Linked DNA regions of Canis lupus familiaris. The protein of the gene in region 1 purifies or fractionates together with the protein of each later gene. This does not show direct contact. Links are inferred from orthologs where the notes say so. Each region holds a gene or a part of one and is shown on either strand. Other genes may lie near its edges.

The links.
Region 2: the proteins of ABCA1 (region 1) and NR1H2 purify together in Homo sapiens (affinity purification with western blotting; 3 studies listed by BioGRID and IntAct, with this or other methods). This does not show direct contact. The link is inferred for Canis lupus familiaris from reciprocal best matches to the Homo sapiens genes ABCA1 and NR1H2.

What each region holds. Positions count from the first base shown.
Region 1 is NC_049232.1:61,251,167-61,255,709, forward strand, and holds the start of ABCA1 (phospholipid-transporting ATPase ABCA1), read right to left. Parts: upstream 2,888-4,543; 5' UTR 2,698-2,887; intron 1-2,697. UniProt on the Homo sapiens protein: Catalyzes the translocation of specific phospholipids from the cytoplasmic to the extracellular/lumenal leaflet of membrane coupled to the hydrolysis of ATP.
Region 2 is NC_049222.1:107,001,579-107,006,164, reverse strand, and holds the start of NR1H2 (oxysterols receptor LXR-beta), read left to right. Parts: upstream 1-1,618; 5' UTR 1,619-1,779; intron 1,780-1,892; 5' UTR 1,893-2,053; intron 2,054-2,616; 5' UTR 2,617-2,635; coding exon 2,636-2,678; intron 2,679-2,759; coding exon 2,760-2,891; intron 2,892-3,245; coding exon 3,246-3,536; intron 3,537-3,613; coding exon 3,614-3,879; intron 3,880-4,092; coding exon 4,093-4,272; intron 4,273-4,586. UniProt on the Homo sapiens protein: Nuclear receptor that exhibits a ligand-dependent transcriptional activation activity. Binds preferentially to double-stranded oligonucleotide direct repeats having the consensus half-site sequence 5'-AGGTCA-3' and 4-nt spacing (DR-4).

The DNA.
Region 1 (4,543 bases):
AGAAGTACAAAACCACATGTCTACTGGTAATTTCTAGATACCCAAAATGTTCATAATTAAAGCATCTAAGGTAATGTCTACTATTACTTTAGGAGCTAGAAATTGAAATAGCAAAAATATTAACAATTCTCAATCACTATGAACATAGCCTAAGTCACTTGGTTTATGGGAGAATTGATCCCTAAAAAATTGATGGAAAAATATTTCAACTTCTCTCCATATAAGGGAAATACTACAGAGGGTAATAAAAAGCTGTGTTGCTGAGTCTCATTCATTTTTAATAATGTTAGCATTGAGACTTCCAAGAGCAGAGGTTGAAAACAACCAAGCCCTAACCACCCTTTTTGAACCCTAGACTGACCATTGTCTCATATGAACTGTAAATATGCCGTAAGTAAAAAAAAAAAAAAAAAAAAAAAAAAAAAAATGTGTCCATTACAGGCCTCCATTTAGATGTAGATTGAAATATTTATGAAGGTTGAGATTTCAGATGCTCATGAGGAGGAGACACACATATCACAGGTGGCCCCTTCACAATCAGATATGTCATTGTGGAACATGAGGCTTGTCCTTGCAAGGGAATTACTCTGGCTAGAACAGCAATTCTCATCCCTTAAATCATTAAGCCTGGCCAATCTGATTCTACTACTGTTGGGGTTTTTTATTTTTTGTTTTTCAAGTAGATACCAATTTGCTCTGCGTATCCAAAATTTCTTTAAACTGTCATGAATTATTTGCTGTATAGGAGCATTTGGGGAACAGGCTGACAATGAACACTCTGCACCTGAAAATTATTTTATTATCTGAAGAGGTCCTACTCCAGAACATTCTCCGTGCTTTCACACTTTGGTTTAGGAGAAGTGTCTCAAGGGAATGATTCAAACAACAGGAAACCTCCATTATTTTTGTGGCAGGTATGAGAAAAATGGGCTGAAATAAAAGGCAAGATGAGAAAGGAAGCCCTTTTTTAAAGTTAGGATTTAAGTTCTGTCTGAAAAGAAGTTCAAAACCTAGGTTGGGTCCCAAACGATTGTTTAAAAACAACAAACAAACAAACAAACAAACAAACAAAACAGTAAAACTGCTTTTGAACTTGGAAAATTTTGTAAGGTGTTCTTGGTTGGGGGGGGAGGGGGGCTGGGGCCCTTAAAAAGTGACTTGCTGATTTTCATCACCAAGGAAATGTTTCATAATATCAAATATGTCCTCTTACATGGATGTATATATACCACCCACTCTCTGTGCGAGGTGTCACTGAATAATAGTTTGGGGTTTTAAAAGCTGACGGTATCAATGCTGCAAAAGATAGGGGCCAACTGCTTCCAGGGCCAGAGGCTTCTCTCTCTCTCTCACTCTCTCTCTCTGTCTCTCACACATGCATCTTGTTCATATCCTTCTATAAGATAAGTGCTGGTAAAGCCACTACACACAGCCTCGGCTCTGGCCCGCGCCAGGACCCTTCTCCTGTAACATGGATCTGGGAATCGAAGCATCCTGATAAGGAACCACCGGACGGCCTCCTCGCCCGGGCTTCCTCCCCGTCTCCAGCCACCCGTCTCCACCGGATCTCAGTCGGAACCCCAGAGCGACAGCCCCTCCCGGAGCCCGGGCCCCCCCTCCGGCCACAGGGTCGATTCCCAGGCCCTCCGGCCAGGAGGCGCTGCGGACCGGTTCCCCGAAGCCACCGGCAGCCCGAACCCGGCCCCCCTGCATCCCCCGCCCCCCCTGCATCCCCCTCCCTCCTTGCATCCCCCCCCGCATCCCCCGCCCCCCTGCATCCCCCACTCCCCCTAGCATCCCCCTCCCTCCTTGCATCCCCCACTCCCCCCGCATCCCCCGCACCCCCCGCCCCCCTGCATCCCCTCCCTCCTTGCATCCCCCTCCCTCCTTGCATCCCCGCCCCCCTGCATCCCCCGCCTCCTCCTCCATCCCCGCCCCCCCTCCCCCCGCCCAGCCCCGCGGCGGAGCTCCGAGTTCCGCGCCGCCCGCCGGGGTTACTCCCGGTCACTCCGCGGCACCGTCTCGCCGCGGCCTCCGCACCCGTGCCCGGCCTCAGGCTGCCCCAAGAGACCAGGCGGCAAAGGGCAGGAAGGATGGGGGGCGGGGGGCCGCGCACCTCAGCTCCAGGTTTCCGCAGCCTCTTCTTCTAAGTCTTTTGTCTTTAAAAGGAACGGACCGCGACCCCAGCGGGGCGGGCGCCCCGGGGCCCCCCAAGTGGCCCGCAGCGCCGGCAGAGCCCGCTCGGGACGGCGCCCGGTCGAGTTCTCGGGGCGCAGGAAGCGCGCTGCGGGCGGTCCGGGGGCGCACGGGGCGAGCCCCAGGTCAGAGCCCGGCCAGGCCGGCCCCGGGAAGAACGGCCCGAGGCTGCGCCCCCCGCCCCCCCCCGGCCCGAGGGGTTCGCGGCCGGCTCGGGCTCTCCGCAACGAAGGGGAGCGCGGGGTGCCGGTGCGGCTCTCGGGGAGCAGCGCCCCGGTGCCACCAGGGCCCCCGCCGCGCGGCGCCCGCGCCCAGGGATGCTTCCCGGCGGAGCCCCGAGCGCGGCAGCTCCCGCGGGTCCCGGGCGCCCTCCCCACCTACGCCGCCCCCGCCCCACCCGCTGCAGGGGGCTCGGGCTGCCGCCCCCAGCCCCGCGCCTCCCCAGCCTCGGCGGCCCGTAAGCAAGATCCCTAACGCCCGGGTCGCTGGAGAGCCTCTTACCTGCTTTCCACTGTTCTGTGCGCGTCTTTGCCCCCACCCCTGGAAAACCCTTCCGGAGAAGGGGGGACACGGGGGGGGCGAGGGGCAGAGCACCCCGAGAAGCGGGCTGTGGGTGCGCCGGTCCCACCTGCCCCGGGGACGGAGGTGCCGGCCGCGCCCGCTCCCGCTCGGAATTACCGGGGTTTCGCCGCGACTAGTTCCTTTTATAGATTCGGCTGCGCCGGGCGCCGGGGTTACTACCGGTCAAAGCCCGCTCGCTCCCTCCTCCCCGCCCCCTCCCCGGCCTCTGTTTATGTAGTTCAGTCACTCAGCAGAAAGCACGTGGAGCCGCGCCCCGCCCCTTAAACGGGCGACGTCCCGCTGCTCCGGGCAGGGCGCGGGGGGCGCGGGGCGGGGGGCAGGGGCGCGGGGGGCCCCGGGAGCCCCCTGCCCCGCCCGAGCCCGCCTGCCCGGGGAGAGCGCGCAGCCCGGGGCTTGGGGCCGAGCCAGGGACTGTCTCCTTGCACGTTCCCTTGGGCCAATAGCACGGGTGGAAGCCGCTTCCTCCAAACTCGTGCTTTCAGCAGTTTTCCCCCCTTTGTTACTTCCCCCCGGTCGGAGGGATTGAGCGGCTGAAACCCCTCCGGACACCAACCCTTTAGCCTTTCCTTTCAAATGCCCAGGGTGTGGGGGAAGACGGACAGTCCTCCGGATAATTAGCAGTTTTTGTTTTCCACCACAAACCCTGACTTTGGTATTCAATAGGGGACTTATTTATTGCCTTTGGGATTCCCAGCCTGGGCCTCCCAGGTCCCTGCGAGGGCCAGTGAAAAGCCTCTTGCTCCTTCTTTTTGCAAAACGAGGGGGAGGTGGGAGGCCACAAAAAAAAAAAAAAAAAAAAAAAAAAGGAACAATGTGAATGAGTGTCCCCCTTTTTATGCTCATTATATTGGTGGGAGTCTCAGTGATAAATACACAGAGCTCGTGTTTTGGCTTCTGTAGATTTGCAAAGTGCAGCTAGAGGATCACGGTTGTGAAATTATAGAACCATTCCAGTTCTCCAGCTTCCTCCTCTGGCTTAGCCATGACACTCAGAAGCACACAGCCCATAACATTTGAGGGACAGAAGCCCAAGTGCGAATGGAGGCCCACAAACCTTGTCTAAATATTTAAATCATACAGCCAGCCAACAAAATGTAAAATAAAGGTCTCCTGCCTTGACAAAGATGTCTTTGAAGCAACCTGGAAGGGCAGGTTCACATAAAGACTCTTCAGGGTCTGACCTGAGTTTTGACAAGAATGTGGTGGAGGGGGGGGTGTCAAACCCCTTGTCTTCCCACCCCCAGCTCCATTATACTCCAGTGGGCTTCAGCTGTACAAGCCCCCACCCCTCCACACCCCTCCACACCCCTCCACACCCCACCACACTGTACTCACTAGTCAGGACCACGACTTGGAGAGAGAGGTACACACATCAGTGCTTCTGTCAGTGCTCAGGACAGATCCAGTGAGGAGGCCCATGCAGGCTCTGAAAGTGCACTTAGGGGCCTCAGGGCAAGGAATTCTGGGGTCCCTGGTCGGGTACTCCTAACTCCGGTGGCATGGCTCTGTGGCCCTGGGAGTGCTCACCCTTATGAGGAGGGCCAGAGCCAAGCCTTCTGAAGCCCAGGGCCCAGCAGCGTCTTGCCTTGGTTCAAAGGATAACTCTGGCCAAGACACTGGGTTCTGGGTCAAATGTGGCTGAACCACATGATGTGCAACTTTCTGCCTCCATTTCTCCATCTGTAAAATAGACTGTGTATACTCTCTCTCTCTCTCTCTGCCTCACAGGGATTTTCTGAAAGTGAATTTTGTTCATTTGACCTCC
Region 2 (4,586 bases), on another chromosome or scaffold:
TGAGATTCTTCTGCTGGGGTCTGTCTGTAATTGACAGTCCTTCCTGTGATTGACACAGGAGTGATAACCCAGGAGAGCTCCCCCTGCTGGTCTGCCCCTTTCAATTTACTGAGGTCTCCCTTTATGAATTTTCACCCTGGATGCTTAGGTGCGCCAGGCACTGCCCCTCCTGAATCTTCACACCTTTCTTAAGAAATAGGAATAACTTCCCCTATTTTACAGATCCGTCAACTGAGACTGAGGGTGATATGCCTTGCCCCAAACTGCTGTAATTCATTTTCAGTCTCTTTCAGCCTTTTGCACTATTCTAGGGAAGTTAAAAACAACCTGAGCATCCCCAAGAATAAACACAGTTCTCACATATTAGGCTCTCCTTATTTGAACCTGACCTGACTCATTCTTTTTACCTTATTTAGTTGTAATGACAACCCAACTAACTCTTATTGGGCCCAATTTATTTTTTTTTAGATTGTATTTATCTATTCATGAGAGACCGAGAAAGAGGCAGAGACACAGGCAAAGGGAGAAGCAGGCTTCCTGCGGGGAACCTGATGCGGTCTCAATCCCAGGACCCTAGGATCACGACCTGAGCCAAAGGCAGGTGCTCAACTACTGAGCCACCCAGCCTCCTCGTTGGACCCAGTTTAGGAAAGGAAACTGAGGCACAGGCAGGGTCAATAGCCTGGCTCAACATAACACAACTAGGAAGTGACAGAGACACGAGTTCAGCCATTCTCTCCACTCTATGTCCATGTAATCACCCCTTTTAGTGGTAACATCCTCCGATTCCATAGCTTCAAGGTCATGTCGGAATGGACAAAACAAATTATAAAAGAGCATGACTCATACGTTGCAATAAAAAACGGATATATGCTCAATATAGATCTGATTATCATCCAGGGAAGACCAGAACAGTTCCCTTTTTCTACCTATTCAAGTACTGTGAGTTATCTTTAAAAGCTATTATTTGTATCACTTTGGTTATGAGGTTATGCTTTTTTTAAATCTTCATATCAACAAGTTCTTTTATATATATATATATATAAAGATTTTATTTATTTATTCATGAGAGACACACGGGGGGGGGGGGGCAGAAACACAGGCAGAGTAAGACGCAGGCTCCATGCAGGGAGCCCGATATGGGACTCGATCCCAGGACTCTAGGATCATGCCCTGGGCCAAAGGCAGGCACCAAACCGCTGAGCCACCCAGGGAGCCCTCAACAAGTTCTTTTTTTAATAGATTTTTCCTGGGTCTAGGTTTGCAATTCAATTTATTTCAAACCAATAAGCAACGTGCCTCTAAAACCAGAAAACTTGTTAATCAAACAAGGACAAACATGCTTCAAATCAACGTGTGCGACAAGGAGCAGAAGGTCGGGAGCTTTGTGACCAGTAAACCCCCAAGCTACGAGCCCAGAGAGGAACAGGGCTGGAGCAAAAGCAGCCCAGCTCCCACTCGGAAGGTTTGAGACAGGCCACGCCCCCTCCCGCACTACATTCGGGAACTGGTCCGGAACTCTCCTGCCAGGCCTCGGTGGAAATACTCCGGACGGTAAGCTTCCGGTGAGAATACGACTTCCGTGCGGGGCAGCCGATTTGGCTAGTTAAGCGGACCGGAAGTCCGTCACTCCTGACTGCCCGCCCCCTTCCTAAAGTGACGCACGGCGGGGTTGCCGGAAGAAGTGGCGAAGTTACTTTTGAGGGGATCCGAGAAGCGGCGGCGTGCCAGGGGATACAGAGAAGGAGGAGGAAAAGCAGAGCAAGGGGACAGAGGCAGGTGCACTAGAGTGTGGGGAGACTCGGGAGGCGTCCTGGGCCCGGGGCTTCCCGGCGTTCCCCGCGCTGCTCCGCTCAGCCTCCTTCTCTCCTTCCCCCCCCTCCCTTCCGTAGCTCGCGCTGTCTCCGGTTGTTTCCAGGGCAACGGGAGTAGGAGACCCCGCGAGAGGCCGCCCACAAGACCCTCGCGCGCAGCCATGAGCCCCGCCCCCCACTGGTGTTCGGAGAGGGGCGGGACCTGGAGCGAGGTGTGGGGGCGGAGCGTGAAGGGAGGGGTGAGGCGTGGCCTGACGGGAGGTGGGGCGGGGCCTGCAGGGAGGGGCACCGGCGGGGCGGGGCAAGGGGAGGGGCGGGGCGTGATGGCTGGAGTGAGGGTGGGACCTGGTAGGCTTGGGCGGGACCTAGATGGAAAAGTGGGGGTGGGGCAAGGGGAGGTGGTGGGGTCAGGGTGGGAGTTGGGGATGCTATTTCCGCGGAGGTGGGGAGTTCTTACTCGTAGGTAGGGTGAAACTGGGTGGGATGGAGGAAGTGAGGGCGGAGCACGATGGAAGCAGAAAGGGCAGTACCTGCAGGAACGGAGTGGGCGGAGCCTACGGGAGGGGCGGAGTCTAGGTGAGGGCAGGGCTGAGAGCCTGTGGAGGCCTGGAGCGGTCGGGGGCGGGCTCTGTCCCAACCTGAGGAGAGGTCCCAGAGGCAGGCAGGGGCTAGGCGGGGGTCTCTGCAGTAAAGGAGGAGCCTGGAAAAATGGAAGAAACAGGTGCCCGCATCAGGACTTGGGGCTGGCCTAACCTGAGCCTCCCTGGCCCCACAAGGCTCTCGGTCCCCCCGTATTCTGCAGGTTTCTCCGTGACTCCACCATGTCCACCCCCACCACCAGTTCTCTGGACACGCCCTTGCCTGGTGAGTGAGCTCCTTCCCGGCCCAGCCCCGACCCCCGTGGCACACTTGTCAGGAGAAACTCACTGTGCTTACCTCTCCCAGGAAATGGCCCGCCTCAAGCCAGCGCCCCATCTTCTTCACCAGCGATAAAGGAGGAGGGTCCTGAACTGTGGCCTTCGGGTCCAGATCCTGATGTCCCAGGCAGCGATTGGGCCCGCTCCGCTTGCAGCGGGGGTGAGATGGGGGCCAAGGACAGGGGCTGGGACAGGGTTGGGGAAGGATCCAGAAAGGGAGAAAGATCAGAAATGAGGATGGGAGGCTCCCAATTTCTCGTTAATTTTTTCTTCCATGCTTACTTGTCACTTTTTTTTTCTTTTTTTGCCCGTGAGCATATTTTTTTCCTACTTGATGCCACTTGTCATTTGTTCTTTGGGGTTCACTGATATGCACGCTTTTGTTTCTGAGACACCATTTCCCTGGGTCACTGTCTGTATCCTGGCTTTTTGCTTCTCTCTTGTGGGGATGATCCTTGGGCTGCAATTTCCTTCCGAGGCCCTGTGTCTCAGGGTTCCTGACCACCCACCCCAGTCGTTCCAGACCCTGCTGAGGAACCTGAGCGCAAGCGAAAGAAAGGCCCAGCCCCAAAGATGCTGGGCCATGAGCTGTGCCGTGTGTGCGGGGACAAGGCTTCTGGCTTCCACTACAACGTGCTCAGCTGCGAAGGCTGCAAGGGTTTCTTCCGGCGCAGTGTGGTCCGAGGCGGGGCCAGGCGCTACGCCTGCCGGGGTGGCGGGACCTGCCAGATGGACGCCTTCATGCGGCGCAAGTGCCAGCAGTGCCGGCTGCGCAAGTGCAAGGAGGCCGGGATGAGGGAGCAGTGTGAGTGCTGGGGGGAGAGCCGGCCGGACCCCTGCCCAGCCCTGGGGCCTCTGCTGAGGCCTCTGTCTCCCGAACAGGCGTCCTCTCGGAGGAACAGATCCGAAAGAAGAAGATTCGGAAGCAGCAACAGCAGCAGCAGCAACAGTCACCAGTAGGGCCAATGGGCAGCAGCACAGCTTGTGGACCTGGGGCCTCCCCTGGAGGGTCTGACGGAGGCGGCCAGGGCTCTGGGGAAGGCGAGGGTATTCAGTTAACAGCTGCTCAGGAACTAATGATCCAACAGTTGGTGGCAGCTCAACTGCAGTGCAACAAACGCTCCTTCTCTGACCAGCCCAAAGTCACGGTACCTCCCCTCCCACAGCCTTGAGGGATGATGAGCATGGTGGGGTTGAGCCAGTAAGGCTGTAGCCAAGGGCATGGGGAGGTAACAAGCCTTCAGAGGGCAGGGCCTTGGAGAGGAGGGTCTCCTAGGGTACAGTCTTTGCCTCAAGGTGTCCCTGCAGCCTTGGGCTTGAGGGAGAAGTCCTGAGAATAACCCTGGCCCCTGTTTCCCCAGCCCTGGCCTCTGGGTGCAGACCCCCAGTCCCGCGATGCCCGCCAGCAGCGTTTTGCCCACTTCACGGAACTAGCCATCATCTCAGTCCAGGAGATTGTGGATTTCGCCAAACAAGTGCCTGGCTTCCTGCAGCTGGGCCGCGAGGACCAGATCGCCCTCCTGAAGGCGTCTACCATTGAGGTAATGGGCAGTCTGCCCATCCTCTACAAGGCCCTTCCTTCCTGCCCATGAGGAGCTCCAGGGATAAGCCTCAGGAAAGCTGTTGGGAGTATAGTGATGAGTCATATACCTCCAGTTGTTGCCCTTGTGGAGAGGATACCCTACAGGGGAAGGCCAAAATACTAAACAGATAATCAGAGCCTCCCATGAGCCAAAGAGAACAAGGAAAGGGGCCGGGGCTGGGAAAAATCGAGGATTGGGCTGGAAAGAATGTGGTGCTGGGAAGGCTATTCAGATGAGTTGGCATTTAATCCAAAGCAACCATAACAAATAAA